5 linked regions of the Ovis aries genome follow. The protein of the gene in region 5 interacts with the protein of the main gene of each other region in a pairwise test. Links are inferred from orthologs where the notes say so. Each region holds a gene or a part of one and is shown on either strand. Other genes may lie near its edges.

Region 1 (6,286 bases), on a different chromosome or scaffold from region 5:
AAACACACACACACACAAAGAAAATACACTGTGAAAAAGAGTGACTATGTATACATGTAAGGTACAAAATCAACAGCAAGTCAATCATACTAATCTTCTCTAAATAAAATGATCCATTTTGTTAAATGACCATTCAAGATGTTATAAGAAGAACTCATGCCCTCAGCAAGGAGTTGAATTTACGACTTCAAGATAATTCTGAAATCTAATATTGTATCATTATAAAATCAACCATTGCCAACTTCACTTGACATATAAAATAAAGATATTCTTAAGGCCCAGTGACTTCATCCCATGACAATGACTTACATATTTAAATGGCAAATCATAAAGCCCTCCAGGTTTATGATCCAGTCATGATTTTCTCAGTCACTTAGTCCCTTTCTGGCCTCTCCGTCCCCGCTCAGCACTGACCATCATGATCTAACACTCTCTTGCTATATCCTCCTCAGTTTCCTCAGACTCCTATCTTTCTACTGCACCTGCCCAGCAAAAACACACCCTGAATCAGTATTAAAAACTATTCTTGTTAGTTCTTTATTCAAGTACTGAGTACCACTAGGCTAAAAAATAATAATAATGATCACAACTGTATAGCGTTTGTACCACTACAAATTACTCACCAATCCTTTCACTTATTTCGTAGATGGCTCTCGCCCGTCTCTTTGGACACTATTTCAAACCTTCACTACTTTTCTCCTCAGCCCCTTACTCAATCCCAAACCTCTTCACTCTCAGTAAACAATCTTGCCTCCTTTCACTGGCTTGGTTATTTGCCAGATCCCCTGCCATAAGCTCTCTTAATTACCTTATCCCTAAAAACAAAACGAAACAAAACAAAAAAACTTATTTATGTCCACATCCATCTTTACCTTCTATCCTTCAGTCTCAGATGATGAGTTGTCCCTCCTCTTGTTTGAGGTTAACTCTTCCAAATGACCTTGACCCATCTCCTCCCACCTCTTCCAGGACCTTGCTTCATAAGGTGTATGCCCTTGGGCAAGTTATTTCATCTCTCTAAACCTCAGTTTCCTCATCTGTAAAATGGGATAACAGTACCTACCTCAGAGGTTTATTTTTAAGGATGAGATAACATTTACCAAGTTCTTGGCATAGTGCCCAACACAAAGTAAATACTCAATAAATGTTAGCTGCTATCACCATTACCGTCACCACACCAATCTCCTCTCTCCACATCAACTTCTCTCTAACGGGTTCTTTCTGAAAGAGGAGATGTCTGAACTGTTATTGAAAGTCTGATGAGACTTAGGTGGGCTGCAATTACACTGAAGGACATTTCAGGCAGAAGGAACTGCAACAGAATGCAGATGAGAATTGTGCTGTGTACTTGAGGAACTAGTGCGGTATTTCTTTAGAGTAAAATTTCAAGTAAGAAGTAGTATGGGATGAGTCTAGAAAGCCAGAACAAGGGATAGAGCAAGGGGAGAAAGCCACAGTAAGAAACTGGAACTTTACCTACAGGTAATAGAGACATTGAGAATTAAGTGAGCAAATGACAGAGTCAAACTTAGGTCTTATAGATGATCTGGTGGCTTTGTATCCAGGACATGACTCCTAACACTGTTGGACTTTTCAGAGACCATATGTTCCAATCTTCTCAATATGGAATATGAGAAATGAGGTCCCAGAAACACTGCAGGTAGTATCACTAGTTAATGGTTAGAACTTGGTAAGTATCCAAAGTCAGCTCCCCAATTAGCCTGACCTGCTATATTTCATTTCTATTAACTGTTAAGAGAACTGACATCTTTTTGGAAAGAATAGATTATGGTGGGAGTGGTGGGGGGGTGGGGAAGTGGCTGGTGTATTTATAAGTCATTTATACAAATAATTTTTGCTTAAGAAAACATTACTGCTCTTTGTTTCCATCATTAGAAGGAGTTCCCTGAATATAACTACAAAGTTACTTTGAAGAAAAAAGCATGTTAAAAAAATCAACAAACTGTCAAGGAAATAAATTCTGCTTTACTGATAATATATATTAGAAACCAGGGAAAATAAAATTACTTAAAATGCAATTTTTCACAATGGACTTGAAGTATTTAGGGGAAAACTATCAGGATACCTATATCTTAAACTAATTGAGCAAAAAACATTTAGATGAAGCAAATAAGACAAAATATTAACAATTATTGACTCCAGATCATGTATTACTATTCTCTCCACTTTTCTTGTGCATTTGAATTTTTCCGAATAAGTTTTAAAGAATTAAATGGTTTGACACTACTCTCAATATGCAAGTCAGAGCAAAATACCTTCCCTTATTGGATTTCCAGAATTTTTAGCACCAAGATGAATCTCTAGCACTGAAAGGAAATATTATTTATGAATGTGGTCTTAACATTTTGAGAAGACACGTGTATGATTATGACATCCTAATCTTAGAATAATTTACTACATAAATCCTCAGAACAGAGCATTTACTCCCATTTCTCTTTACTTTCTTGCCCTTGATACTTCCATTCTGAATTACAGAGAATCGAAAGGAAAGTATCATAATTTGCCTAATATATTTAAGAAGCAGGGTCACATAGGCGCCCCTTACTTCTTTCTGTAATTCAATCTTTACTAAATGAACTAAAAATATGAAAGAATTTTACTTCTCAAGATGAATTTCCTCAATAAAATTCACTTAATTTTTAAAATTGAGAAAATATATGGTTTCCTTGACGTAAGCTACACCTGTCATGCCAACTTATCTCACTTTTTAGTATTAATATTTTATTAACATTCAAGAAAATATGATTTCCATACCTTCTTCCACTTTCTGCCTACCTGATTTTTTAAAATAATAATGAAAGAGAAACTGGTGAAAAATAAAGAAAAGAAAAAAAACTGTTTAACTGTACCTTTAAGTGTATTAATATCTTAGGAGACTATCTAATACTCAAAATTTTATCTCATGGCCTGAATATTATATCTTGAAACTCAGGGGAAAAAAACAGTACTTGTTTAAAAGTTGAATTACACTATTTCAGATACAAGCATTATGAACTCAGTGATTAAATCAACATCTCTCACTGTATCATATTACATTGGCCCTTATAATGACTGCTAACTACTGAGCACCTATGTGGCATGTACTGTATGCTACCTAATTTAAAGTCTCTAACTCAAATCCTTTAAAACACCCCTTTGAGGTAGATGCCTGGCACAGGGCCCCGTGGCCCATGGCGAGAAACACTGGGAGAGTGGCGAGGGCGCTCCTGGCTTTGGGTTCAGGACACCTGGCTCCCAAGTCAGCTGCACACGTGCGTGACTAGGGCTTGAAAAGTCACTTGGACTCTGCAAAAGCCGTATGTGAAATGAGGGTAGTAATTCTTACCTCGTAAGTTTAATAAAAGGATTGAATGAGACAGTATTTATACAGGGCACTGGCAGATACACAGGAAACTAAGAGTGGGCTTACACAAGGGCCGCTCCACAATGCTCACATAAACGGGTGCTGCTCCCCCCACCTACCCACAGGTGCTGAGCCACTAACTAATGCATTTAGAAAGACCATTTCCCTAGTTGGGAATCTATGAAATCACACTTTAGAAAGAACATTTTCATCTCAATATTCTTTGCATTATAAGCCAATGAATCTCCTACAATCATCACGCTGCTGTGTAAACTATGTAATAAATGTGAAATATGATTTTAAATTCTTACAGTCTTATTTTCTTTCCCATTGTCTTCTGTTGAAAAAATCAACTGTTTATTAATTTCATCCATACTGATAAGTGATCGTGTTTTGATGAAGTGTTGAAAAGAGACAGCCTCCACATATTCCTGCAGTCCTGAAAAACCAACAGGAAAATTACTCAGGAACAACCACTAAATTAGTAAGAATGTCACAGTAATGAACTTCAAACTAATCATCATCTAGCTCAACAAAAGCTTGACGGTTATCTATTCCATCAGCCCTAGATTCGACTCTGAGAACACACCACCTGGGGATAGCTGGTGGGGACTGGCACTGCACACAGCAAACATTCCTGTGACTGAACTTAAGATGGCTCACACAGAAATGTGTTCAGAGTCTTCCTTGTATTTCATGAGTCCATTAGTCTTAAAAATCTATCCTCTCCTATAGAGAAATGGCAAAGATTTCAAGAAAAATACTTTTTCTAAAGAATTTAAGAAAGGGCTATTACCAAAATTCTGGTAGGTTTTAACAGAATTTATACAGGTTAGTTTTTGTTCCCTTAAGCAGCAAAAATAGACAATCATATGAGATAAAATTAAAAGATAATTTGGCTCTTCCTTAAAATGTTCCTAGGTCAAAAACCCAAAACACTGTAAATAATGAAGGTTAAAGTGTCAAAATTCAAAATAACATTTTCCTCATACTTCAAATTAAATCCTTTCTGCTTCAGTAGTTGAATTTTTTTTTTTAAAGCTAATGAGTAATAATACCAGTTGCATCGGATGTAAATCCTACAGAGTCCACTCTGAATTAGAGGTCAGTAAAGGTCAAAAATACTGCTATACTTTTTCAAGTGTTTTAAAACAACCAAATTCTATACCCATACTTTTCAGCATTATTTTATTATGTCTTCATCTATAAGGTAATACAGGGGAAAAAGTGTTTCTTAAAATTATTATCATTACTGTCAGTTTAAGAAACTTGGTCTTCTTTTTGAAGGCTTTATTGTAAAAAATAGGAAGAGGAAAATAAGTTCAGAAATAAAAGTCGGACACAACTTAGCGACTGAACAACAATGCACTTTCTGTTTCCTGTTTGGACACTGATGACTACAATAGGAACTTAAGAAAAATAAATACTGGTACTCTATCTCCTTCACCCCTAGTACTCCTATAGACAGGTGTTCCATCGTGACAGGCCAGCCAAGGTGCCTGTCCTCAGGATCAAGATGCAGTCCTAGCAGGACCCTTAACACAGATGCTTCCTTCCTTATTTGAGGTTTTCCACTTGATGTTCTTTACTGGATGCCGTCAACATTTACACTCACTCAGATCTCTCCCATCCACAGGCCATATCTTTCCTCCCAACTGTTGCCCGATATCTCTACTCCCCTCCACAGTTAAATTTCTTAAAGTAGCTTCTTAATAACCACATCTCACACTTCTCAGCCTACTTCATCCCAGCTTGAGCACATCTCTAGGCCAAAACAGCTCTAACTTAAAATTACGCCAGTCAATGAATCTAATGGGCACTTTTTCAGTCTTAATTATGTAGCAGCACTCAGCACTTTGACCACTTTTCCCCTCGCTTAAACAAGCTTCCCGTTGGCCCCTTCTACGGCATCTTTTCCTAGTTCCCCTTTTTTCTACCTCTCTAGCCATGTCTTCTTAGTCTCTGCCAGTCCTAGGCTCTCAAATTACCTATGCTAAGTCACTTCAGTCGTGTCTGTCTCTATGTGACCCCACAGACAGCAGCCCACCAGGCTCTGCCGTCCCTGGGATTCTCCAGGCAAGAACACTAGAGAGGGTTGCCATTTCCTTCTCCAACAAATTACCTATACTCGGCTTCAATTAATGCTGCCATCTCCCAACTTTACATCTCTGGTTTAGAACCACATACATCCAAACGCATATTTGACAATCCCATCAGAGGGACTTCAAAAATCAACATAATCAACAATGAATTCACAATATTCCTTCTAAACCTAGCCATCTTTGTTTTGCCAATTCTAAGAGGATCCTGGCCTTACCGTCATCTATTTTTCCCCCTTTCTCATCCATTCTCACACCACAGACTTTTTAATAGTCTTGTAAATAGTCTCTTTTTTGCCTATTTAGTAACTATAATTAATACCAGTTTAATAATAATGACCACATCACCACCCTGCTTAAAGCCTAAATAGCTTTCCATGGCTCTTAGAATACAGAGGAAAATCATTAACATGGTTGATAAGCACCTGCTTAATTTCAACCCCCATTTACATCAACTCATGCTATGGGCAGGTAGTTATACATTTATATAGCATATAACTATACTCATGTAGTTATACATTTCAAAGATGGATATGTAAATCCATACAAATCCTTTAACAAAAGTACAGTTTGAGTAACACTCTCTGAATTTTCCTACTTCTTCAGTATTTCTAGGCATAATCTTGCCCCCAAATTCCTAAAGCTGGCTTACATTTCAGGGCCATGTTGAACAAAATAGTATTTTAAATGCTGCAAATAACAAGCAGCAAAGTTCTTGTCATGTAAGATTCTATCAGTTGAAGGTGGTGCAAGCAAGCTTCCTTGGGGCTTTATGCTTAAGGCTCAATGATTTCATCAAGCAAGTGTTATCTCAGTTTAATGG
Region 2 (5,319 bases), on a different chromosome or scaffold from region 5:
GGCCCTGATGTGCTTTTCCCCAGAATCAGATGCTCCAGAGTCGCCGGCAGGACCTGGAAGCCCAGATTCGAGGTCTGCGTGAGGAGCTGGAGAAGGGACGGGGCAGGCTGCAGGCCACCCATGAGGAGCTGCTGCTGCTGCGGCGGGAGAGGCGGGAGCACGGTCTGGAGGTGACTGGCAGGGCTGGGGTGGGTGGGCGCGTCAGGCTGAGGGCCTGGATCACTGCCTCGGGGCCTCCTGGGAGAAGACCCCAGAGCTGGGTCACTGGGAGCCCTAGCAGCCAGGCCAGAAGGGCAAAGGCATTAGCACAAGGGCAAGTGGGAGCCACAGAGAGACTGAGTCGGGCTGGTGGTTCTAGGATGCATCAGAGACCAGCAACTGGAGGCCAGGGATGGGGCCGAGGCGAGAGCTCACCATCGGAGGTGATGGGGACCTGGACCAGGTCTGGGTGTGAAAACAGAGGAAAGAAAATGGAAGGAGGCAGTATGCCTTGATGTTTGAGATCTTAGGAGCTTGCGCTTGCTTTGAGGTCAGATTACTGGGTTTCTTATCCCAGGGTCCCTCCCTACTATTGTGGGACACCAGCCTCAGTTTCCCCATCTGTGAGATGGGTGGTAATGCTGCATGGCTGCGGGAAGGGTGTGAGACGTTCAGCAGGTCGCCTGGCTGAGAAGAGAGGATCAGTCAGGGCCGAGTGACAACTTTAGTAAGAAGGTGGGCCTGCCGGGTCAGGGACGGGGCGGGGCTTTTCCAGTGATCGGATGGGGCGGGACTGGAGGGTGACTGGAGACTTTGAAATCTGGGTGCTCGTCGGGGCCCTGCTCTGTAGGTGAGGCAAGTGGCATCTGCCGAGGGGTACTGCGGGTCCCACGGCCGCCCCGCGCTGTGGGAGCGAGAGCCAACTTCGGCGCTGGGCGGGGCGGACGCGCGCGGATGCCTGACTCCTGCGGCGCGCTGGCGCCCCCTGTCGGCCGGCGGTGGGGGCATCCGTCTGACGCTCACTGTTTCGCTCTGCTGCCACAGCTGGAACGCGCGAGGTCCGAGACGGAGGAGGCGCTGAGCGCGCTGCGGAGGCTGCAGCAGCGTGTCTCGGAGCTGGAGGAGGAGTCGCGCCTCCAGGACGCCGACCTCTCGGGAGCCTCGCTGCAGTTAGAGCTCGCCCACAGCCTAGACAGCGACCAGGACCAAAACCAGAACACGGACAGAAGCGGAGGTGCTCTGGTGAGCTCTCGGCCCACCAGGCTCCACACTCACCATCCCGGAGGGCTGCAGACTCCGCCCCTCCTTTTTTATCCCTAGAAGGTTTGACACTGCCCTGATCGATTTCTTTGGTGGACAGACCACTCTATCCCCGGAGACCCAAGAAGCATCCAGCCAGCAGTGTTCGCCCCAAGAGGAGAGGTTGGAGCCTCCCAGGAAGGGAGCATCCCTGAGCCCAGAGGAGATATTGGGAGAAGAGGAGGAGGAAGTGGTCCGGTTACAGGTTGAGGTGAGGGAAGCATAGTATTGGATGCAAAGCTCCTCTCAATGTCAGTTTCTCTTTCCCATCTATACTGCCAAGGCTTTGCCCACGAATCCCTCTCTACTTGGATACCCCTTCACAAACTTGCCATCAAGTTTCAACAGCCAGCCTGTATGTCACCTCCAGGAAGACTTCCTGAACTACACTCCCCCTTAAGTCCCATCTCCTCCATGCATCCTTCCTGCAGGCTTAGACCATCCATCTAACCCCGACCCACCCCACCCCGCTAGGCACTCAGAAGATTCATCTCCAGCACAGGACCATTAGCTGTCAGGGTTGTTTGTGGAGCAGGTGGAGATGGGAGGTGGGAGGTGCGCGAAGGCAGCGAATGAGTCTAGACTGCCTGGAAGAGCAAGCGCTGGGACACCCAGGGGCCTAACTGCCTCTTCTGGACTTTGCCCTGCCCGCAGATGGCACTGCAGCAGGCAGAGCTACAGTCCCTGCGGGAGGAACTGCAAAGGCAGAAGGCACTGCGGGTGCAGGACCCCGAGGAGGCCTTAAGCAGCGCCCTCTCAGACCGAGACGAGGCCATGAACAAGTAAGCATCTGCAACCATTCACCACCGCCCCGGGGGCCCTCTGACTTCCCTGGTTTCGTATTAGTGGTCTGACTCCCGCCTGGGTCCAGGAGCCCCCATCACCCCTGCACGCTGAAGCCCCAGCGTCCTCGGACCTGCTCTTTGCCCCTCGCCTGCAGGGTCCTGGAACTGTCCCTGGAGCTCAGCCGCGTTTCTCTGGAGCGGGACTCCCTCTCCCGGGAGCTGCTTCGCACCATCCGCCAGAAGGTGGCGCTGACGCAAGAGCTGGAGGCCTGGCAGGTGAGGGGCGGGGCGCACGGGGCCGACGGGGAGGAGCCGGTGGGGCGGGGCCGAACGCTGACCCGCCCCGCCGGCCCGCCCACAGGACGACATGCAGGTGGTCATCGGCCAGCAGCTGCGCTCGCAACGCCAGCAAGAGCTGAGTGCTGCCGCCTCCGCCCCGCGCCCCGCCCCAACGCGCTTCTCCCTGCGCCTGAGCCCCGGGCCCGCCGGCGGCTTCTTCAGCACCCTCTTCCGAAGGACCTGAGCGCCGGGAACAGGCAGGGCTGGCTTTGCCCTCTTGGCTCACTTTTCTTTTCTGGCCAACAGAGCGATGTGTCCCGACTGTCTGCCAAAGGCGGCTGGTGCCCTCCCCTCCCTTGGAGGCTGGGCAAGGGCTCACTGGGAGCAGGGGCCAGCTTTGGGGTCCAGAGACCCCAGACGGGTGGCAGGGGCATGTGTGGCAGAGCTGTTTATCAAATCTATATAAATCTATCTTTTCTAGGCATTAAGCCCCCTGGCCCTCAGCTGTGGGTCGGGGATGGGGGTGGGTATTTATGTATCAACATCAGACAGAGTAATATATAAATCATTACACTGACTTGGCCTCCATTCTTGGTAAGAAAGCACATTAAAAAAAAACAAAACACTAATTTTATTTGTATAAAAAAAGAAGAAAACACTGTGAACTCCTCAGATGGAGGTGGAGACACTGTTGGAGGTCAGAAGGACAGAGAGAAAGCTCGGTAGCCCAGATTAGTGAAGACATCCACCCTGCAGCTGTTGCCTGCTGCTGTCAGGACCTAGAAACAAGAGGGGAGTGACTGACCTGCCCCAACGCCCTGGCCTCCCAGGGTCCCCACCACCCCTGGCCGGACCCACCTTGCACTCAGGGGCTGCTGGTTGCTGGTTGAGGCTGAGGCTTAGCAGTCCCGGGGAGGAGCCAGGCACTTGGGCCTTGAGCTCCCCACTCAGCTGCCACTGGTTGACACAGCGGCCCTGTCCAGCTGATAGAATCTGTGGAAGACAGGGAGGGAGCTCAGAGTTCAGGCCTGGAGGGGGAGCGCGGCAGGGACAGCAGAAACAAGACAGAGGGCCTCACCAGGTCCTGGTAGAAGGTGACGTGCTTCTGTGGCGCCCGCATGGGGAAGACGGTGGTGGGTGTGGAGGATCGGAGGTGCCAGAGGGTGAGTGCTGGGCCTCCTCCGCAGACCTGGGCAGGAAGTTGGGGGTCCCAAGTTACCGTGAGCCATGGGCCCTCAGCCAGACAGGGCCCGAGCTGCCACCCCAGCCTGCACGCTGCCTGGCTCACCATCCAGTCCGAGTCAGTTGCCAAACATCCGATCCAGCGCCCATTGTGGGGCCTCGAGCACTCCTGGGAGGGGGGAGAACAGAGCGGAAGGTGAAGACACCGGGGATGCCCAGGAAGGAAGGAGGGAGGACAGAACGTGGGGTGTGCCCTCACCTCGTGCTTATAGACCTCGACTGTCTGGACCTCCTTGGCTGTGCGCAGGTCTGCAGAGGAAGAACCTCGAGAGGTATCCTCCTCGCCTCAGGCTCCCTCACCACCAGCCTTCCCTCCGATGTGACACTCCTTACCCCAAAGCCGCACGGCCCCATCCTCGCCGCCCGACAGCACCTCAGGGCTCCGCTCCCGCAGTGCCAAGCAGTGGATGTAGTCCGTGTGGCCCCGGAGGGCCCACTGCAGGGAGAGAGGTAGTGTCAGGACAAGACCCGGGAGGAATGCCGTTGCCCCTGCTCCCCTGGCCCTGCTCTCTCACCATGAAGGTCCCTGTCTCAAGGTCCATTGCATGCAGCTGACAGTCTCCCCCCGCCAGGATGAGCAAATTCTCCTGCAGAGGAAGGTGGGATGGAGTCAGAAGTCAGGGTCAAGTCAGGCCACGGAGAGGGGAAGGATCAAAATCTGGGCCAAAAACAGGACAGGGAAGAGCCCTGAATTTACGAAGGGCTCGAACCTTGGGCACGAGAAGCAGAGCATTGATCTCAGGTACTTCCAGGCTGGTCCTGGGGAAAGGAAAGCAGAGTCAACTCTGGTGAGGTGGCACCTTCACCCCCAGGTGCCCTCTGCTCACAGGGCCTGGCTCACCTGTATGGGGGCTGACGACGCCACAGCTCCTTACAGCCCTTCGTGGAGAGAAATGCTTGTTGTACAATCGCTGAATTGTGTTAGACTCTGTGACCCCATGCACTGGGTGGCCTCAAAGGCTCTCTGTGTCTGGGTACCTCACCCTTCCCCCAGCTCCACACTCACCTTCTTAAGGATCTCCGCCCAAAGCCAGGCCTTCACCTCCCCATCACCAGCACTCAGCAGATGTCGATCAGTGGAGACCATGCTGTAGACGGGCCCATCATGGGCTAAATGGAAGCACAGAACCTGAGTGACCTCGTCCTGCTCCTGTCATCCACCCTGGGGTCCCCCAAGCCAGACTCAACGTCTGCACCCACCATGGAAGGTCACCATGGGCTTCTTACTTTCCTCTTTGGCCTCGGAGCTCAAAGCAGCAGACAAGCTGAAGGGAAAGGGGAGAGGGGCCTGAGTGTCAGAAGAAGGGGGCATTAGCCCCCCAGAGGGCCAAGTGCCAGAGCTCATGGACAGTGGGGAGCAGGGGCAAGGGTACCTAAAGATAGCTATCTGTCCATAATTGTTGCCAGCAGCCAGGAACTTCCCACAGGGTGAGACGCTCTGGGAGAATATGGTCATGTGCAGCCGCTGCAGAGCCTGAAACACTTCCATCTGTGGAGAGAGGCTGGATAAAGGCAGGCTCGGGCATCCGGGACCTCTGACCCACACACTTCTTCCTGCTTCCCCTGCAGCAGTCGGGCCTCCCATCACCCAGTTCTCCTTTGAGACAGCCCACCAAGTGGGCCTTGCCCATTTAAGTCCCAGGGGCGGCTCCAGGGAGGTGAGGAAGAGGAGAGTTGAGGCATGATGCCCAGTGGAAATCTGAGCAAAGACTCAGCCTCTCCTCCCGGTTTCCTT
Region 3 (6,286 bases), on a different chromosome or scaffold from region 5:
TTGTGATTAAAAACTATCAATTTCCCTCTAAACTGTGCTTTACCTGCATCCCACAGGTTTTGCCACTTTATATTTTCATTCTTTCAACTAAAAATATTTTTTAAGTTCCCTATTCCCTAATTTTCTCCAAGTTCTCTGTATGCTTTAGTCCTTTGATAGCTGCTTTTCTATGTTATAGTTAGAGGGTGAGTCAATAAGTAGGTTTGATCACCCTGTAATAACACCTTGTTTATTTAATATGTTTCACTGATGATTTTTTCCATAGTAGAAAAGTTATATAAAGATACATAGAAGATTTTGTTCCATTGATCTGATATCTTTTTTTGCACAGTTTGTTTTTGAAAAGTATTTTCTCTTGTTTTTTTTTGCATTTAAAGCACCTAAAGTATGTGCATGTTTTTTATGTGTTTCTTACGACAATTTGTGTTGTGCTTTGAATTCTCAGAAATTGTATTATTCTTGAGCAGTCGGCTTCACTTGCCAAATTTAGGTTTTGTTTTTTTCCTTTCCAGGCCCAGCTTCAAAGGGAAAAAGAACAGGATCATATGAAGCTTCATGCAAAACTTGAAAAGCTTGATGTCTTAGAAAAAGAATGTTTTAAACTTACAACAACTCAGAAAACTGCTGAGGTAAGCTTCAACTTATTTCTTTGAAGTGGTGATACCAGGAATAAATCTTCAGTGTTCAGTGTAATTACCCTGCATATGAATATACAATAAAATTAGATTTGTAAAACTTCATTAATAGCTTTTAGTAATCCAGATATGACTTATTGCCTATAGATCACAGCATAAATGAGTTTGCTTTTTGATGTGAAATTGTAGTTTTACCTTCTTCTGCAGTGGTAGAATATTTTCATTTGTTAGGTGATTTACCTAAAGGATATTGAAAAGGTAGCCTTTCACCACTTGCAAGTAAGTTATGCCTATTCTAGATCCTATCCTGAAATGCCCTCTCCTTTTCCAAGTGAATCCCATCCATTTTGTAGGATTCTCCCATTCCTGCTTCCTCTATGAAGCCTTCCTTGAGATTTTGAACACTCAGGAAGTTCTCCCTTTGAGATAGTACTGTCTTCCTATTCCAAACTATACCATGGATATAAGATGAAATACATTTGTGTATAACGTTATACATATATATTCATGACCTGGGATCAAATCGTATTGTTTCATGTATATTAGTCTTGTTTCCCCTGTGGCTTAGATGGTAAAGAGTCTGCCTGCAGTGCAATCCCTGAGTCAGGAAGATCCCCTGGAGAAGGAAATGACAACCCACTCTGGTATTCTTACCTGGAAAATCCCATGGACAGGGGAGCGTGGCAGGCTACAGTCCATGAGGTTGCAAAGAGTCAGACATGACTGAGCGATTTCACTTTCACTGTTCCCTAAGTACAGCATAGTCTTTTATTGTAAGTTGTCTATATTTTAAATGAAACATTGAGACCCAGGACTATATAGTTTGACCTTCTAGACCTTTAAAACCTCCCAAATTTTCAGTATTATGATTTTGTTAATTAAAATTAATAGAGCCTATGCATGTAAATTCTTTACTTCTCCTTTGTCCTTCTTACATAAAGTAGGTAAAGAATCATACAAAGAAAGCTAAGGAAAACTTAGCATCTTTTGCCATTCCTTTTTCTTACTTTCTGCTTTAATTTACCAAACTATTAAGAATCAAGACGCTGAGGGCTCTATTTGGAAAAGGAATAAAAGATATTTAGCTCTAGTTTTTGTAAAATAATCCCAGTTTTTCAATTCTTTTGTAGGACAAGATTAAACATTTAGAGGAAAAACTAAAGGAAGAAGAACATCAGCGTAAACTCTTTCAAGATAAAGCTTCTCAGGTAAACAGAAAACTGTATTATCTGGCACTTTAAAATCACATATGTTTTATTATACTTTATTAACTGAAACCTTACCCTGGACTCTAATTTCTGCTTCCTAACTTATCAGTTTTGTCTTTTTTTGCTATAATAATGAAATTTCAGTAAGTCAGCAAGTATATTCATAGACTCGGATGTATTGCCAAAGATCTTTTGGTCTTCTGAAATTCTGAGAAACATACATATATTCTCAGTTGAAAGAACTCATGCTATCAATTGTTTTCAGTTTGAGATATATAAAATAACTCATTCTGTTATAAACAGAAAATGATTGTAATTACCAGTAGACTTGGTGACTTTAACACAAAAAAAATAATATTTGGGATTTTCTTCTTCAAAAAACATTTTTATATCAATCTCATTATAATGTTTTTGAAGAAAAAGAAATTTGTTAAAAGTCAAGTAATAGTAAAGGTTTTTTTTTTTCACTATTATAGCTTCAAACTGGACTTGAAATCAGTAGAATTTTAATGTCTTCAGTAACAAATCCAAGGCACTTCAAGGAAAAGAAGAAATCTTCAAAGGTATGCAAATACTTTATTCTTATTTGCTAGTGCTTATTTCTTCATCCTTTTAGTAATTATACCTGTGCATTTTAAAAAAAGAATTTGAAAATATTTATAATATAAGACATGAAATAATTCTATGAAATGGACCTAAAAACATAAGTCAAGTAATGATGGTTTGGGGTATGAGGACAGAAAATTCCATAAAACCTAGGTTGAAGAAAGTAGCAGCATTTGAGCACAAAACCTAGCTCTGAGTTTGCTTGACACCCAAAGCAAAAAGAGACATATAATGGGCAATACATCTAAATTTGTGAAATAACAATAAGCATTCTAATTTTTCTAGAAAGGTAAACATATTGCTAGTACTAAATGTTAAAGAAATGTATTTTGGATACTTTTTAAAAGAAGCACTAAACAATACAATAGATACAACACAATAGATTCTGGAAGCAGTTTTATATAATACATGCACAATAAAAAGACAAGATATACTATTAAATTATATTGTATTATAAATTATAATATTAAATTATAATTATAGTCATTTCTCTAGAGAAATTATTTACTTTTTTATGCTAATATCCTTAGGACTTGCCTAAAGATTGGGGAATGAGTGCTTTATAGCTTTACCAATAATAATTTTCTTGATAAATTGATGTTTTGAATTTATTATATTAAACTTTTTTATTTATAATGGTAAAGAAAATGTTAGTCCCTTTTAATCTTATGATTCTGAAATTATAGTTTTGATGACCATTATTACTATTTATTCAATATGCATGTAGTGTTTCTGTGTGCTATTTGCTGTACAAACCGAGCATGCTATTTGTGAGTTCTGGCCACTGCCATAGGTTCACCCTGTGGATACAATAATGGAGGAAACAGTATACTTAACTTTAGCTAGTTGTTTATTCCATAAATAAGAATTCAGGGGAAAAAAAAGAGAATTCAGTAGTTTGGCTGCATTTTTCACAGATTAGTTTCTTTCAAAGAATTTGCAAACTATAGTAATGAAGACTATTTTCCCAATGCCGTTTATATTGATTTTTTTAGTTTATTTCCTTCCTTAAGTATGTTTTGTGTCTTATCTCCACAGTAAGATTAGAAGCTGCAAAGCCAAATAGAGAATCACTATAAGTAATTTATACAAGTGGAAAAATACTGACTTATTTTTGTAGTTATGTTTTATGACATCCTTTGAAGATCTGGTGGAAAAGATTTTTTTAATAAGGTACAGGGAAAAACAAGGTAAAAGAAATGAAGGAAAGAAAAGGTAGCTCCTGGAAGAAAAGAAAAAATAATTGACAGCAAAACCACTTTATAAAAGCAGTTAGCTTAAGTTCCAAGTTCATAGATCTGTAAGTAATAATGCCTCCTTTTAAAGGTAACAGGAGCACTGTTGCTAAAGGTAGTATCTGAGTTTTTTTAAGAGACCTCTGTGAGATTCCTGCTTGTCTCACTGACACTTACTCCATATCCTGGACATAGTTCATTCAACTCATATGTCTTGATTTACATAGATTAGTACCTTTAGGTATTAAAAAGATAACACAGGAATTTACAGAGAAGCAGACAAAAATACAAATATAAGACAGAGTGTGCTAAAAACCTAATAAAACTATAAACAAAGTATTCTGGTGCTGTACACATAAAAAATATGTGAAAAGATCACACAAGAAGTAGTAAAGGCAGACTTGGAAAATGAGTAAGTATTGATAGAGATGAGGCGAGGTGTGTTATAGTCTGAGAGTATAGTTAATTTTTACATGAAACTGTAAATAATTGTCTAGTACTAGTACCATATGAGACCTGAAAATATAGCCTGAAGTGAGATTATGACTGATCTTCAGTGCCATGTTAAGAATTTGAACTTTTGTTCTATAAATCATTGCAAACCATTGAAGGCTTATAGAGACATGATTAGAGCTATACTTCTAGACAGTTACCAACAACAGCATAAGGTGAGCTTGGAAGTAAAGAATCAGACTGTTTGAATATTGTAAGCAAGATAATGGAAGCCTGTCCTGTGAGGTTTTCATTATTCTTTTGAAAGGATAGATTGTAATTATCAGTCAGAAATCTCATTCAGTATAACAACTAAAAAAAATTACATTTCTTTTGTTCTAATTTAACTGCTTAAAATAGACTTTGATCAGACCATCATTTTCTATTACTTGAAATTATCACTCCTAAGGTACAGAGCTTGAATGATTGTCCAGGATCACCAGGAAAATCTGAGTGAATAAGTACTGACTCACAAATGTGTGATATCTCTACCTCTAAGCCATTTAATTTTTTTAATTTAAAAAAATTAATGTTTATGATAGTTAAGATACCTAAATTTTCCTTTAAAATTGGGAATATTTTGTTTTCTTTTTATTATGGAATATGCTCAGCTTATTGATTATTCTCTTGCTAAAGTGTTAAATAGAGTGACCAAGTCACTCCAGTTTGCCTATGACTGTACTGGTTTTAGTACTGAAGATCCTGTATCATGGGCAGATTGAGACAATTGGTCACCCTAGTTCAATCCATCCGACAAAAATAGTGAAATCATTTACTTTTAAGAATGTAGCTTCAGTTCAGTTCAGTTCAGTCGATCAGTCATGTCCGACTCTTTGCGACCTTAGCAGTGTCTTTTTAAAAATGATTCACGAAGGAGTACATATTGATTTGGCCAAAGAGTTCGTTTGGGTTTTTCCATAAAATGTTACTGAAAAACCTGAAGAAACTTCTTGGCCAACCTAATATAATAAAAAATGTCTGCTCAAAGGATAATAATGACATTAACACTGGTACTCACCACACAGCTCAAGAAATAGAACATTACCAGCACTGTTAAGGCCCAGTGTGTACCTTTCTTAAATTGTATTCCCTCCATCCAAGGAGTAACCACAATTCTGATTTTGTTTTTATCATTCTCCTGGTTTTTAAAAAAAATTACTTTGCCAAATAAGCATTTATAAGAAATATATTTGTTAGGTTTACACTTGAACTTTATATAAATGGGCTTACTGTATTTGTGTTCTTCAGCAGCTGTCTTTTTCCACTCAACATTAAGTTTATGAGATTCTTCCAACTGATGCATATATGAATGGTTCACTGCTTTTTATTGCTAAAAATTTCTTTTTCCCTTCTCCTTTCAGTGATCATTTGGTTTGTTTCTCACTTTTTGTTATTATAAACAACACTGTTATGAACATTCTTGTACATGCCTCATGGTATAAGTGTTCAGGAGTTTCTCTGAGATACTGGGCCATAAGTGTCATGCACCTTAGCTTTATAAGATATTGTTCAAAGTGACTGGACCAGTTTATGTTCCAATCAGCAGTTACCATTGTTCCATATCCTAACCATGTGTCTTTTTTTGTTTGTTTTTTGTTTTTCACTTTTTATTTTGAAAAATTGTAGAGGTGATTTAAAAAAAATATAAAGGGAGGTACAGTGTATCTTTCGGAGAAGGCAATGGCAACCCACTCCAGTACTCTTGCCTGGAAAATCCCATGGACGGAGGAGCCTGGTGGGCTACAGTCCATGGGGTCACTACAAGTCGGACACAACTGAGCGACTTCACTTTCACTTTTATGCATCAGAGAAGGAAATGGCAACCCACTCTTGTGTTCTTGCCTGGAGAATCCCAGGGGCGGCAGAGCCTGGTCGGCTGCTATCCGTGGGATCTCATAGAGTCAGACATGACTGAAGAGACTTAGCAGCAGCAGCAGCAGCAGCAGCATATATCTTTAATAAGCTTCCCCCAGTGGTAACATCTTTCATAAATATAATAAAGTCTAGGAAATTGAAATTGGTATAATACACAGAGCTTAGGGAGATTTCAACAGTTGTGTGATCATATACAGTTTTATCACATGTGTAGATTCTTGTAACCATCACCACT
Region 4 (6,807 bases), on a different chromosome or scaffold from region 5:
CCCAATCAAAAAATGTGCAGAAGATATAATATAGACATTTCTCCTAGGAACATCTACAGATGGCCAAAAAGCACATGAAAAGATGCTCTGCATGGCTAATTACTATAAAAGTGCAAACCAAAACTACAATGAGGTACTACTTCACACACATCAGAATGGCCAAATTTTACAAACAATCCATGCTAGAGAGGGTGTGGAGAAAAGGGAACCCTCCTACACTGCAGCGGAGAATGTAAAATGGTACAGACACAATGGAGAACAGTATGGACAGCTCTTAAAAAACTAAAACCCGAGCTACCATATGATAAACAATCCCACTCCTGGGCACGTATCTGGAGAAAACCATACTTCAAAGATACATACACCCCAATGTTCACTGCAGCACTATTTACAACAGTTAAGATATGGGAGCAATCCAAATGTCCATCAACAGAGGAATTTAAAAAGAATATGTGGTACACATATACAGTGGAATATAACTCAGCCATAGCCAGGTGGCTCAGTGGTAAAGAACCCGCCTGACAATGCAGGAGGCATAAGAGACATAAGTGATATAAGAGAAGTGAAGTGAAGTGAAGCCTCTGTCGTGTCCGACTCTTTGCGACCCCATGGACTGTAGCCTACCAGGCTTCTCTGTCCAGGGGATCCTCCAGCCAAGAATACTGGAGTGGGTTGCCATTTCCTTCTCCAGGAGATCTTCCTGAACCAGGGATTGAACCTGGGTCTTCCACATAGTAGGCAGATGCTTTACTGTCTGAGCCACCAGGGAAGTGAGTTGGGTCACTTCTTCGGTCAGGAAGAGGCACTGGAGAAGAAAATGGCAACCCACTCCAGTATTCTTGCCTGGAAAATTCCATGGACAGAGGAGCCTGGCGGACTATAGTCCACATGGTCACAAAAGAGTTGCACATGACTTAGCAACTAAACAAAAACCAAATATTCCATTTATAGCAACATGAATGGACCTAAAGATTAACATACTAAGTGAAGTCAGAGAAAGACAAATATCATATGATATCACTTCTACGTGGAATCTAAAAAATTACACAAATGAACTTATTTACAAAACAGAAACAGACTCACAGACTTAGAAAACAACCTTCTGATTAAGAGAGGGGAAAGGTGGGGAATGAGGGATAAACTAAGTTAGGATTAAAGTATACACACTACTGTATGTAGATAAACAATAAGGACCTACTGTATAACACAGGAAACTTGAGTTAATACTCTGTGATAACCTACATGGGAAAAGAATGTGAAAAAGAATAGATATATGTATGCTGCTGCTGCTGCTAAGTCGCTTCAGTCGTCTCCGACTCTGTGCGACCCCATAGACGGCAGTCCACCAGGCTCCCCTGTCCCTGGGATTCTCCAGGCAAGAACACTGGAGTGGGTTGCCACTTCCTTCTTTGATGTGTGAAAGTAAAAAGTGAAAGTGAAGTCGCTCAGTCGTGTCCGACTCCTCGTGACCCCATAGATGGCAGCCTACCAGGCTCCCCCGTCCCTGGGATTTTCCAGGCAAGAGTACTGGGGTGGGTTGCCATTGCCTTCTCCAAGATATATGTATAACTAAATCACTTTGCTGAAACGTAACACTGTAATCAAATATACTCCAATTAAAAAAGAAAGAGGATAGAAACAATTACAGAGACAGCATATACAAATCCATATAGCCAAAAAGTTTTAACCACCTGTTTTTCCTCAACAATACCCTATCACAGTACAAACACACAGAAATACACAAGCACATACACAAACATCCGAATCAAAGACATGGGAACCCAGAGGGAAAGTAATTTTTTTCTTTCCCTATAAAATGAGAATGTCATGACATATCCAGCAGACCTCAAAATTCTTTTGATATGAAATGATTTTTGAAACATTGTGTAAGATACAATGTAAGAATTCATAATTTAATGAGTTTGTTGAAAAATATGTGACAAAACAAATATTGATGCATAAATTATATATATAACTAAGGTGCATTTTTGAGTAAAGTGGATAGAGAATTGAGGTAAATATTTATAAGTGGTTATAAGCTACCTTGTAAGATTAATCTTTATAAACTCTTGTAAGTTAGCTACAGGACTTTATACTTCATTACTACTAAAACTTACCACAACAGATCTTGGCATTGCTGGCTTAAACACGGAACAGAATTCCAATAATCTTTTCTCATAATATTTGCAGAGCGTTATTTCTTCATGAGGCTCAAGAAAGACTGGGTCATTTGGAAGAACCTTTAGATCAAAAGTTAGAACAAAAATAAATATCTAATAAATTAGATAATATTTCTCTGCGCAGATTTAATTAAGCTTTTATCTCTAACCAAAGGGAAATGTACCTCATTTTTTTAAAATAGAATTGCTGCTGCTGCTAAGTCACTTCAGTCTTGAACGACTCTGGGCGACCCCACAGACGGCAGCCAACCAGGCTCCCCTGTCCCTGGGATTCTCCAGGCAAGAACACTGAAGTGGGTTGCCATTTCCTTCTCCAATAGAATTGCTGCTGCTGCTGCGAGGTAGCTTCAGTCGTGTCCAACTCTGCGACCCCATAGATGGCAGCCCACCAGGCTCCCCCTTCCCTAGGATTCTCCAGGCAAGAACACTGGAGTGGGTTGCCACTTCCTTCTCCAATGCATGAAAGAGAAAAGTGAAAGTGAAGTCGCTCAGTTGTGTCCGACTCTTAGGGACCCCATGGACTGCAGCCCACTAGGCTCCTGTGTCTAATATTACACAAAAATAAGTTTTAAAAATAGTCAGTAAACTATAAACTGTGCCACAACTGCATAACTTCTCAGAATGTCAGCTGAATATTTGCTTCACTAAGGTATAAGCAAATGTGGGGAGCGTGTGTATACATTCACAAGTTTGATGTCACTTTTACACATCAAAAGGAAGAAACCATCAATGGTTGGAGAACTTTCAATAGTCCTTTCTCAGTTATTGAGTCACAGAGGTTGAAGTAAAAATCAAGTGTCTCAAGGATAATTCTGACCCTTAACATATTACCTCTTCTGCATCTCTACAAAATTTCTACAAAATACACTGTAGGGTTAATAAATGCTACAATTTTACTACAAAAATATCTATTTGGTGCCACTACTGGTTTAATTACAACTGCCAAAAAAAGGTATGTTGAGTCCTAACCCCAGTACCTCAGAATGTGAGAAAATAAGGTCTTTGCAGATACAATTAGTTAAGATGAGGTCCTACTGAAGTAGAAGTGGCTTCTAATCCAGTATGACTGGTAGCTTTGTAAGAAGAACATATAAAGAGACACAGGGAGAACACTCTGGAACAAGCAGGTAGAGGCTGGAGTTGGCTGCCACAAGTGGAAAAGACACCTGGGGTTACCAGAAGCTGAAGAGGAAAGGGTCTCGAAGTTGCAGAGAGCACTACTCCACAAACACCTTGGTCTCACACTTCTCGACTCCAGAACTCAATAAATCTCTGCTGTGTTAAGTAACCTAGTGTATGGCATTGTGGCCGGCCTAGGAAACTACCACAGGTGAGGCTCATTTTATAGAGACAGCATGGCATTGCGATTCACAGGAGGACAGCTGAAACGAGAGTCCATGGGTTCAAATCCTGGCTCTGCCACTTACTAGCGATATAGCCTGAGAAGTTATTCAACCTCTCTGTACTTCAGTGTCCTCAGATGTAATGCAAGGATAATAACAGTATCTACCTCATGGGGTAGTTGTGAGGGTTATATGAGCTAACAGTTGCCAAATATTGAAAATTTAGCAAACGAAGTACTAGTCTGTACAGCACAAAAAATAAAATGATATGAAGTAAACGTTACAGGTAAAAGTAAAGCTGGAAGGGCGTGACTGACAGACTCTAGTCCAAACCTTCTGTGGTCAATTGGTTTGTGCTAACGGTGTCTCATCCCCCTTCCTCTGCCCTGCCCCATCCAATCAATCCATTCCTTCCCAGAAAGCTCTTTCTAGAACAGAATCTGACAAGATTAATTTCCCATTTAGAATCTTTCTAAGCTTTCCCATCTGTCCATCACAGAGTTCAAACTACTTACTTCCGCTTACAAGTTCCCTGCCTGCGTTCTCCAGCCTTTCAAACACTGCTTCCGCCACACACGATCGAGAGCGTTCCAGAGACCAGCTCTGCGATTTCTGAACTCCTTTGCACCTGTGGCTCTGTCCGCTGGGAAAGTCCTTTCCCCATCTTCTCCACACCAGCCACTAAGAGAAACCTACCCCCGGTACATTAGCATCCTACAAAGTGTCTTCTTGGCCTTGTTACTGACTATACAGTCCGCCGCTCGACTGCGGGGATGGACGGCCTTGTCCGTCTCCTTACCCACTGTACCTGGCAAGGTGCTCGCTGTTGATTAGATGGATAAACGCACTCGGCGCCGAGGAGGCGGGAGGGAGGTGTGGGGTAAGTCCTGGGGGAGGGGGGGACAGGCAAGAGTTTACAGAGCCCGAGGCCGAAGGGCGGCAGCCCGAGCCCTCACCTTCCCGTTCGCCACCGCTTTGCATTTGAATTTGCGGTTGGCGTCGGCCCGCAACCGCGCCAGCTGCTCCTCGCTGGCGAAAGTCCAGTGCCTCTTCTGGCTACTGTTGTGGTACATCGGGAAATCGGAGGCGAGGCCCAGCGAGTCTCGGGAGAGAAGACCGAGAACTGTACAAACCCTGACGTAAAGCACCTAAGACGCCTCCAGGATCCCGCGGAACCCAAGTCGGGACAGCCCGGCGCGGGGGCGATGACGTCAACCTCACGTGGTAGTTCCGTCCCCAGTCGCGTTTCCGGAGCGGATTGGGAGGAGAATGGCTCCGGGCTGCTCCGGACGGCGCCTGCGACTTAAGTGGGCGTGACCCACAGAAGCCGCTCCTCCTTTCCGAGAGCCTGGGCCCTAGCTCCGCCCCTTCCCGACAAGATTTAAAGGAGAAGCGAGGCGGAGGGCTGTTCAAAAGGGAACTATCAATAAATGTAGGGCTTGTGGAGGCTAACCTGAACAATTTAACGTGGGACGATCAGAAGTGAGGAAAGGACTTGGGAGGGTATCAACTTTTAAATAGGATGGTTCAGAGGAGGCCTCAGTAAAAAGGTGACATTCTGAGCAAAGTTTTGAAAGAGTTGGGTGGGGCTAACAATTACATGGGTATGACATGGGGGCAGATCAGATTGAACAGCCAAGATCGCAAAGCAGAAGCATTCTTGGTTCTTTTAAGAAAGTATCTCTGGAGCGGTACCAAATTCTTGGCTTCAGAGAGACAGGAACATGGTTGGAAAACTAGAAGCAGTGCGTAGGTATTGCTCTTTACTATTCTGACCCTAAATATGTCCCTGTCTTATTCTTCCTGCAGTGAATACCTAGTTTCTCTAAAACAGAATACTACTAAAGGACAAGAAGAAAGAGCATTTAAAAAATATCCTCAATCTAAATTTAACTCTCCCAAAATTCAAACACTTTTTCTTTTATATTTTAGGACTATTGAAAATTAAGATGTAAAGACAATATATTGTGGAGCAAATTCTAAAAATCCATGTTCAATTCAAAATGTCATATTAAATCACTGTACTGAAGATTTGATACTAATTGTTAGGTGGTGGTGATGATGGCAATGGGGACACAAAAATGGCTATTTCACAGTCCTACCTCAGGGTCCTTAGAGTATAGTAGAATGATTATGACATGGACAAATACTGTCCCTTCTCAATGATAATAACTTTGAGTAGGGTCCAGTAGGGAACTAGGTAATATCTCTTATTCCTGAGTGCTGATACCTCTTACTAGTGTAGATACTACCCTTTAGTGACTTGAAACCAATGGAAGACCCATAGTTCATTCAGCCCCAACTAGGGACCATTCAGTCCAAAAGGCTTAGCAGCTTTTCTGCTAACTAGGAGTATGTCATCAACATAAAGGTAATTCCTGTGGCTTTAAAAAAAATTACTGTTAATTCTTCCCAAAACAAATTAACAGAGTTGGCCTCTGTTACAATCATGATTGGGACTAATCTGTCACTACCTTATCCTTTTATTATACTAATTAATCAAGAGTGAATAGAATTATTATATAAAGTATCATATGGTCACTTCCAACACAATTTTACAGCAATTTACTAAGATGGAATACTAGACCACCTTACCTGCTTCCTGAGAAATCTGTATACAGGTCAAGAAGCAACAGTTAAAACTAGACATGGAACAACAGACTGATTCTAAATTAGAAAAGGAGTATGTCAAGGCTGTATACTGTCACCCTGCTAATTTAACTTCTATGCAGAGTACATCATGCAAAATGCCAGACTAGATGAAGCACAAGGTAGAATCAAGATTGCTGGGAGAAATATCAATAACCTCAGATATGCAGATGACACCATCCTTATGGCAGAAAGCAAAGAAGAACTAAAGACCCTCTTGATGAAAATCAAACAGGAGAGTGAAAAAGTTGGTTTAAAGCTCAACATTCAGAAAACTAAGATCATGGCATCCAGTCCCATCACTTCATGTCAAATAGGGGAAACAGTGGAAAAAGTGAGAGACTTTATTTTGGGGGGGCTCCAAAATCACTGCAGATGGTAACTGCAGCCATGAAATTAAAAGACACTTGCTCATTGGAAGAAAAGCTATGACCAACCTAGACAGCATATTAAAAAGCAGATATTACTTTGCCAACAAAAGTTCATCTAGTCAAAGCTATGGTTTTTCCAGTAGTCATGTATGGATGTGAGAGTTGGACTATAAACAAAGCTGAGCACCAAAGAATTAGTGCTTTTGAACTGTGGTGCTGGAGAAGACTCCTGCTAGTCCATTTGACAGCAAGGAGATCAAACCA
Region 5 (5,801 bases):
CATCCTCAGGCTTTTTCCGCACAGTGTCAGCCACTTGCGCCCCACGTCCTCAGTGTCTTTTGTGTCCTAGTTAAGAAACCTCTGTCTACCCTAGGGTCCCAGAGATGGTCTCCTGTGCTTCCATCTAGAAGTTTTGTAGTCTTAACTTTGACATCTAAGCTCTGTGAGGTACCGCAGGTTCATCTTTGTGTAGGATGTAAGTCAAGGTTCACTTTTTCCCCATTTGGAAATCTGTCGCTCCAGGCCCACTTGCTGAAACGAGCTCCCCCACCGCACTGAGTGGCACAGGTGACGGGTCTCTGTTGGGGGCTGCTCTGGACCCTCCATGTTCTCTCTCTGGTCTGTCACACATCTGTCCTAGATCAGAACCACGAGTCTATTTCAGTGTCAAATGTGAACTCAAGGCAGCCTCTGATTGGCTCTGCCTGGCCTACATCAGCCTCCCCACCAATCACAAGCTGGGGGTGGAGCATCCTGATGGGTCACCCGGGCCACCTGCCTGCCCCACTTGTCCAGAAGATGGGGATTGGTTCCCTCCGGGGATCACAGGGTTTTCCAAAGAAGTGAGACTGGACCCTGCCACCACCCTCCCCTGGTCCCCAGAGGGCAGGCTGAGGCCAGGGGACAGGGTGGCCTGTCACCCCGGAGTCGGTGGCAGAGCTGAGTTTAAGCAGGACACCCCCGTCCTTGAACCCACCGTCCGCCGCCCACATCCTGACCTCCCCTTGTCCTCCCTGAAGGGCATCCTGGAGAACATCCAGAGGAACAAGCTGCTCTTCATCGAGACCCAGGATGGGGCTGAGACCAGCGTTGCCCTGGAGAAGTACCAGGAGGTGGGTACTGGGGGGACAAGGGGAGTTTGGGTGGAGAGGGGCCAGAGGCGGCACAGCTCCCTGGTGACGTGTCTGTGTCCTGGCCTTCCCTCCCCAGGCCTGTGAGAACGGCCGCGGGGCCATCCTGCTCTCAGTGGCCCGAGGCAAGGTGTCCGAGGGAATCGACTTTGGTGAGTGGACTTGGCCCTCCCTGCCCGTGTGGCCGTTTCTGTTCCCCGAGGGGACCTCACCCACCCACCCACCATCTTGCACACACAGGGGCCTCCCCTTCCCTCCATCCCTGGGCACCCAGCAGGGCCCTTGGGGACCCCCTCTGACGGCAAGAGCACCTGGGCTCCGCGCAGTCAGCCCTCTCTCGCTCCCCCTCACCCCGCAGTGCACCACTACGGGCGGGCCGTCATCATGTTCGGGGTGCCCTACGTCTACACCCAGAGCCGCATTCTCAAGGTGAGCCTCGCCGGGGACAGGCGGACGGACATGAAGGCCTCCCCTGGGGCTCGTGTGAGAAATGGCCCTGGCCCCCATCTCTGCACCCACAGGCACGGCTGGAATACCTTCGGGACCAGTTCCAGATCCGTGAAAACGACTTTCTCACCTTTGACGCCATGCGCCACGCCGCCCAGTGTGTGGGTCGGGCCATCAGAGGCAAGACGGACTATGGCCTGATGGTCTTCGCTGACAAGGTGCGGTGGGTTCGGGGCCCCCGCCACCCAGAGTGGGAGGGCCGGGCTGCGGGTGCCTGGGCCCTCCCGCCAGGGTCCTGACACCCTCACCACCACCACCACCAGCGGTTTGCTCGGGCTGACAAGCGGGGGAAGCTGCCCCGGTGGATCCAGGAGCACCTCACGGACGCCAACCTCAACCTGACCGTCGACGAGGGGGTCCAGGTCGCCAAGTACTTCCTGAGGCAGATGGCACAGCCCTTCCACCGGGTGAGCCCTCTTCTGGGAAGAGCCCTGGGCTTTCTTCCTGAGCCCCAACCCCAGCCTGCCCCAGAGGGAGGTTTGTGTGCGTGCCACCCCCCAGCCCGTGCCTGGCAGCTGGGGGAGAGCTGAGGGCTCCTGATGCCAGTGTGTCCCCAGCGGGTGCCCCGAGCTGCTCGTGGGGGCTGTGGAAGGCCAGTCCTCCCTGGCTCAGACCTGGCGCTCTGCCACCTCCCTCCCTGGGCCCGTCTTCCGTTCACAGGGACGGGATGACCCGAGTTGACTGGGCATTTCTAGTTCAAGCATCCTGTCCTGGGCCCCTGGGTGGCGCCTCCTGTCACTACTGAGCCCTGTGGGGGGATGTGGGCCAGCTGACACCCCTTCTCCTCACTCCCAGGAGGACCAGCTGGGCCTGTCCCTGCTCAGCCTGGAGCAGCTGGAGTCGGAGGAGACTCTGCGGAGGATCGAGCAGATTGCCCAGCAGCTGTAGCGCCAGGCGGGGCCGTGACACCCGAGTCTTAGCCGGCCTCGGTCCCGGTGCTCAGAGGGGCCTCCGGGAGGGGCCTGGAGGTCCCCACAGGACACCTCAGGAAGACCTTCTAGCTGCCAGATCTACAGCCTTTAATCTCAGGAGTGGAGCTCAGGGAGGCTGGAGCCGTGGGGAGCCATCAGGGAGAGGAGAGGACTCCCTCCCCTTGCCCACCCCTCCCGTTCCTCCTGAGAAGCCGCAGCCACGTGGTCCTGTCGCCTCTAGCGGGGGCCCAGGTCCTGGGTGCTGGTGCTGAGGGTCCGCGAGGCCTCGCTCAGGTGCTGCCTGGGGAACTGGGGACAGGCACGGGGCGGCTGAGGGCAGGACACAGGGCTGCCCCTGCCCAGCGGGGCTATGCTGCCAGCCCATCTTCTTGTCCCTACCCAACTCCAACTCCTCCATCCCCCTGCATCTACCCAAATAAAACCCATCGTGCTCATGTGTGGGGGTCCATTCCAATGCCAGCCTGACCAATGCCAGCTCTTTGTACAGGTCTTCCCCCAGCCTCTGGGCCTGTCCCACCCGACCCAGGGGTCCCCTCACCTGGTTCTCGGGCGCCCTCGAGCCATCCGTGTTCAGCATGCTGAGTGACATGGCCCTCTTCATCCTGCCCAGGAATGGGGCGTGGCAGTGAGTCTGGCTCCCACCCTGGGAGACTCGGGCACCGGGCCTGACAGTTTGTGTCGCAGGGGAGGCGGGAGCCAAGCACGGTCCTCAAGCAGGACAGGGGGAGAGGGGCAGACTCACCCGCTCGCCCCCGCCGCCCCCTCGCCTCGGAGCCGGGAGACCAGCTTCTCGCTTCCACGCCGGATGGACTCCCGGAGCTTAGAGAAGGAGCTGCTCCGACGAAGGGTCTGGGGAGGGCGCCGGGACGCCGGTCAGCCTCCCCTGCCACCCGGGTCGCCCTTCCCCTGGGAGCCCGCACAAAGCCCTCCTCACCTGCTGCTGTGCGTCACTAGTGGTGCCTGTGTTGGGGGCTCCTGGGGACAGATGGGGACATTGTTGGGGGGAACGCTGAGCAGCCCCCGGGGCAGGGGAGGGGCCGGGGGCTCACCGAGCGGGGCGGGCAGGGCCTCCCTGCGGAGGATCTCTTTGTACAGCTCTTCCGCCTGCTGGTACTTGTTCTGCTTCAGGTAGGCTGAGGCCTGCGGGGAGGGCATGGCCTGGGTGATCCTGGCTCATCTAAGCGCTGCACCCGGCACCTCCTTCCCGGCCCCCCAGGAAGCGGCCCGGCCTTATCCCGCACTCCAGGCCCTCAGCCCCGCAGAGTGGGCTTGGAGCTCGAGTCCACTGCTTCCCACAGGGCAGGTGCCCTGCTGGCTCTGAGCAGGGGCCTGCTCCCCAGTCTACCTTGGGCCGGCGACAGCCCTCTCTGCCTCAGTTTCCTCATCTGCACAATGGAGCAGTGGGAGCACCTCCCTCACAAGGCCCTTGAAATGGTCCAGGGAAAGTCCTGAGGAGGGGGCCTGGCTCAACAAATGCTCTCTGCTCCCGGCCAGTGTCTCCGGCTGCCTCTCTGCCTGGAGCAGTTCTCTGGCCCCCACCAACCTGCCAGTTTCCCGACCCTTCCACATCCTCTGAGCTGGCGAGCCTCACTGGTGTGGAAGCCCAGCCCCGTGGGGCACCCTCAAGGGCTGGGTAGAGATGGGGCCCCATCAAGCGATGGGTGCTCGCCCGGTGCTGGGGCCTCAAGACCGAGACCGCCACGCCCCCAGGTGCCCTCACCAAGTTGTTCTTGGTCTTGGCCACGTTGGGGTCATGGGGCCCGCCCAGGGCCTCGTAAATGCTCAGGGCCCGGGCGTAGTGCCGCTCCACCTCCTCGAACTTGCCCTGGTTCTGGCAGAGCAGGGCCAGGTTGTTGAGCTGCTTGGCCACATCCGGGTGGTCGGCGCCCAGGACCTAGGGGTCATGGGTTCACAAGTCATCTGGGGTTGGCAGGCCACGTGTTGCCAGCAGCCATCATGACGAGGCTCATGAGTTGGTAGCTGGAGTCAAGGGTGGTGAGTCAGGGGACTGGGAACTCTAGGTTCAAATTGGTTCTAGGTTCACAATATCACATGGGAAGGGCACAAAAGGTCTGGGGTCACAAAAACAAATCAGGGTCACCCAAGAGCCACAGAGTCCAGGGAAGGGCCATGTGGGGCAGGGCCCCACGGGAGCCAGGCCGGGCAGTACCTTCTCCCGGATCTCCAGGGCACGCTGGCACAGGGGCTCTGCCTCTCGGTAACGCCCGCGCTTCCCGTAGAGGACAGCCAGGTTGTTGAGGGTGGCGGCCACCTGGGGGGTTGGGAGGGGGTCAGGGGAGGGGCGCCCAGCCCACAGCCCCCCGCCCTCCCTCCCGGGCCCCCACTCACCGCAGGGTGCTCGGGGCCCAGTGTCTGCTCCCGGATCTGTAGGGCATCGTGGAGCAGGTCTGTGGCCTCTTTGTACTTGTTCTGGTCTCTGTGGAGCAGCCCCGGGGGGAGGCGGTTAGGCCTGGGGCCGGGGCCCTGGGCTGGGCTGAGCATGGGTGGCGTCCCCCAGGGGTCCCTTCTGGGTGTCCCCACCCCTCCCAGATCTAGCACAGGGTCCCTGCATGCCCGCAGGTGGGTGCCAAGCCTCTGCCGCCCCAGGCCTCCGCCCTACTCTGTTGGGGGTCTCGCCCACGCCAACTCTCTGCCCAGGTCTCTGTGGTCTCCCCAGATCTCCGTCCCCTTCCGCCCCACCCCTGCAGGTACCCTGTGCTGTAGAGCAGGACACAAGGGCCCCCCACTTCTGCCCAACAACGTCCCTCCCTCTGCCCTTCGGCGGCGGCCCCCACCGGTACACCAGCGCCAGGATGTTGAGCATGGTGGCCACGTCGGGGTGGCAGTGGCCCGAGCTCCGCTCCAGGTCCTCCAGGGCCTGGCGGCACAGCGGCACGGCCACCTCGTAGCGGCCCTGGCCCGCGTACTGGATCACCAGGTTGTGCAGGGTCCGGAGGCGGGCTGGGATCTCGTAGCCACCCTGCTGGGCTGCCGCGGCCCCCGCTGCCTCAGGACCTGGGGGTGCATGCGGGGCACCGAGTCACTGCAGGCCTCCTACTGCCCCAGCCCACACACCAGGGGACACATGCCCCCCTAAAGCCACCCCTGGTCCCTGGGACCGCAGGCCCCTGCACTGGTTCCCGAGATGGGAATCCCAGGCATCTCACTGGCCCGTAGGAGGGGGCCTGGCCTGTGGGATGGACGCGCGGGAGCCACCTGGTTCCTGGAGCTGTGGTCGCCATGACAGGCCTGGTTTCCAGCTTTTCCAGCCTCACCTGCTCTGTTACTGCCCGCCCCCCCCTCCCCCGACACACACACACAGCCACCTGCTTCACCCTCCTGACACCTGGCCCTGAGCTGCCCCATCCTCCCCAGAGACCTCGGGGTCCAGCGACTCAGATGCGCTCTCCCCAGCCTCGGCCTCCCATCCTCCATGGCTGAGGCCGCACCCACCTCTCCGCTCCTCCTCCTCACTAGGGAACAGGGAGGCCAGGCTGTCCCGGCGAGGGGG

The links.
Region 1: the proteins of KLC3 (region 5) and TSNAX interact in binary tests that used the Homo sapiens proteins (3 or more experiments, as listed by UniProt). The two-hybrid records come from large-scale screens. The link is inferred for Ovis aries from reciprocal best matches to the Homo sapiens genes KLC3 and TSNAX.
Region 2: the proteins of KLC3 (region 5) and BICDL2 interact in binary tests that used the Homo sapiens proteins (3 or more experiments, as listed by UniProt). The two-hybrid records come from large-scale screens. The link is inferred for Ovis aries from reciprocal best matches to the Homo sapiens genes KLC3 and BICDL2.
Region 3: the proteins of KLC3 (region 5) and CEP57L1 interact in binary tests that used the Homo sapiens proteins (3 or more experiments, as listed by UniProt). The two-hybrid records come from large-scale screens. The link is inferred for Ovis aries from reciprocal best matches to the Homo sapiens genes KLC3 and CEP57L1.
Region 4: the proteins of KLC3 (region 5) and CCNH interact in binary tests that used the Homo sapiens proteins (3 or more experiments, as listed by UniProt). The two-hybrid records come from large-scale screens. The link is inferred for Ovis aries from reciprocal best matches to the Homo sapiens genes KLC3 and CCNH.

The regions. Positions count from the first base shown.
Region 1 is NC_056078.1:3,728,602-3,734,887, reverse strand, and holds part of TSNAX (translin-associated protein X), read right to left. Parts: intron 3,804-6,286; coding exon 3,676-3,803; intron 1,038-3,675; coding exon of another isoform or gene 1,005-1,037; exon of another isoform or gene 1-1,004.
Region 2 is NC_056077.1:2,940,567-2,945,885, reverse strand, and holds the end of BICDL2 (BICD family-like cargo adapter 2), read left to right. Parts: intron 1-23; coding exon 24-170; intron 171-1,023; coding exon 1,024-1,221; intron 1,222-1,339; coding exon 1,340-1,489; intron 1,490-1,932; coding exon 1,933-2,060; intron 2,061-2,218; coding exon 2,219-2,339; intron 2,340-2,424; coding exon 2,425-2,586; 3' UTR 2,587-2,919; downstream 2,920-5,319. Other genes in the region: THOC6 (THO complex subunit 6 homolog), read right to left, coding at 3,041-3,121, 3,201-3,335, 3,421-3,531, 3,631-3,693, 3,784-3,833, 3,918-4,020, 4,100-4,171, 4,295-4,343 and 4 more.
Region 3 is NC_056061.1:28,292,134-28,298,419, reverse strand, and holds part of CEP57L1 (centrosomal protein CEP57L1), read left to right. Parts: intron 1-512; coding exon 513-629; intron 630-1,765; coding exon 1,766-1,843; intron 1,844-2,319; coding exon 2,320-2,406; intron 2,407-6,286. UniProt on the Homo sapiens protein: Centrosomal protein which may be required for microtubule attachment to centrosomes.
Region 4 is NC_056058.1:84,677,075-84,683,881, forward strand, and holds the start of CCNH (cyclin-H), read right to left. Parts: upstream 4,707-6,807; 5' UTR 4,597-4,706; coding exon 4,480-4,596; intron 2,241-4,479; coding exon 2,118-2,240; intron 1-2,117. UniProt on the Homo sapiens protein: Regulates CDK7, the catalytic subunit of the CDK-activating kinase (CAK) enzymatic complex. CAK activates the cyclin-associated kinases CDK1, CDK2, CDK4 and CDK6 by threonine phosphorylation.
Region 5 is NC_056067.1:52,765,074-52,770,874, reverse strand, and holds the end of KLC3 (kinesin light chain 3), read right to left. Parts: coding exon 5,744-5,801; intron 5,306-5,743; coding exon 5,086-5,305; intron 4,728-5,085; coding exon 4,640-4,727; intron 4,563-4,639; coding exon 4,461-4,562; intron 4,185-4,460; coding exon 4,011-4,184; intron 3,431-4,010; coding exon 3,340-3,430; intron 3,266-3,339; coding exon 3,225-3,265; intron 3,140-3,224; coding exon 3,033-3,139; intron 2,893-3,032; coding exon 2,829-2,892; intron 2,725-2,828; exon of another isoform or gene 2,579-2,724; coding exon 2,507-2,578; 3' UTR 2,354-2,506; downstream 1-2,353. Other genes in the region: ERCC2 (general transcription and DNA repair factor IIH helicase subunit XPD), read left to right, coding at 741-833, 931-1,003, 1,210-1,280, 1,373-1,516, 1,622-1,765, 2,154-2,246. UniProt on the Homo sapiens protein: Kinesin is a microtubule-associated force-producing protein that may play a role in organelle transport. Plays a role during spermiogenesis in the development of the sperm tail midpiece and in the normal function of spermatozoa.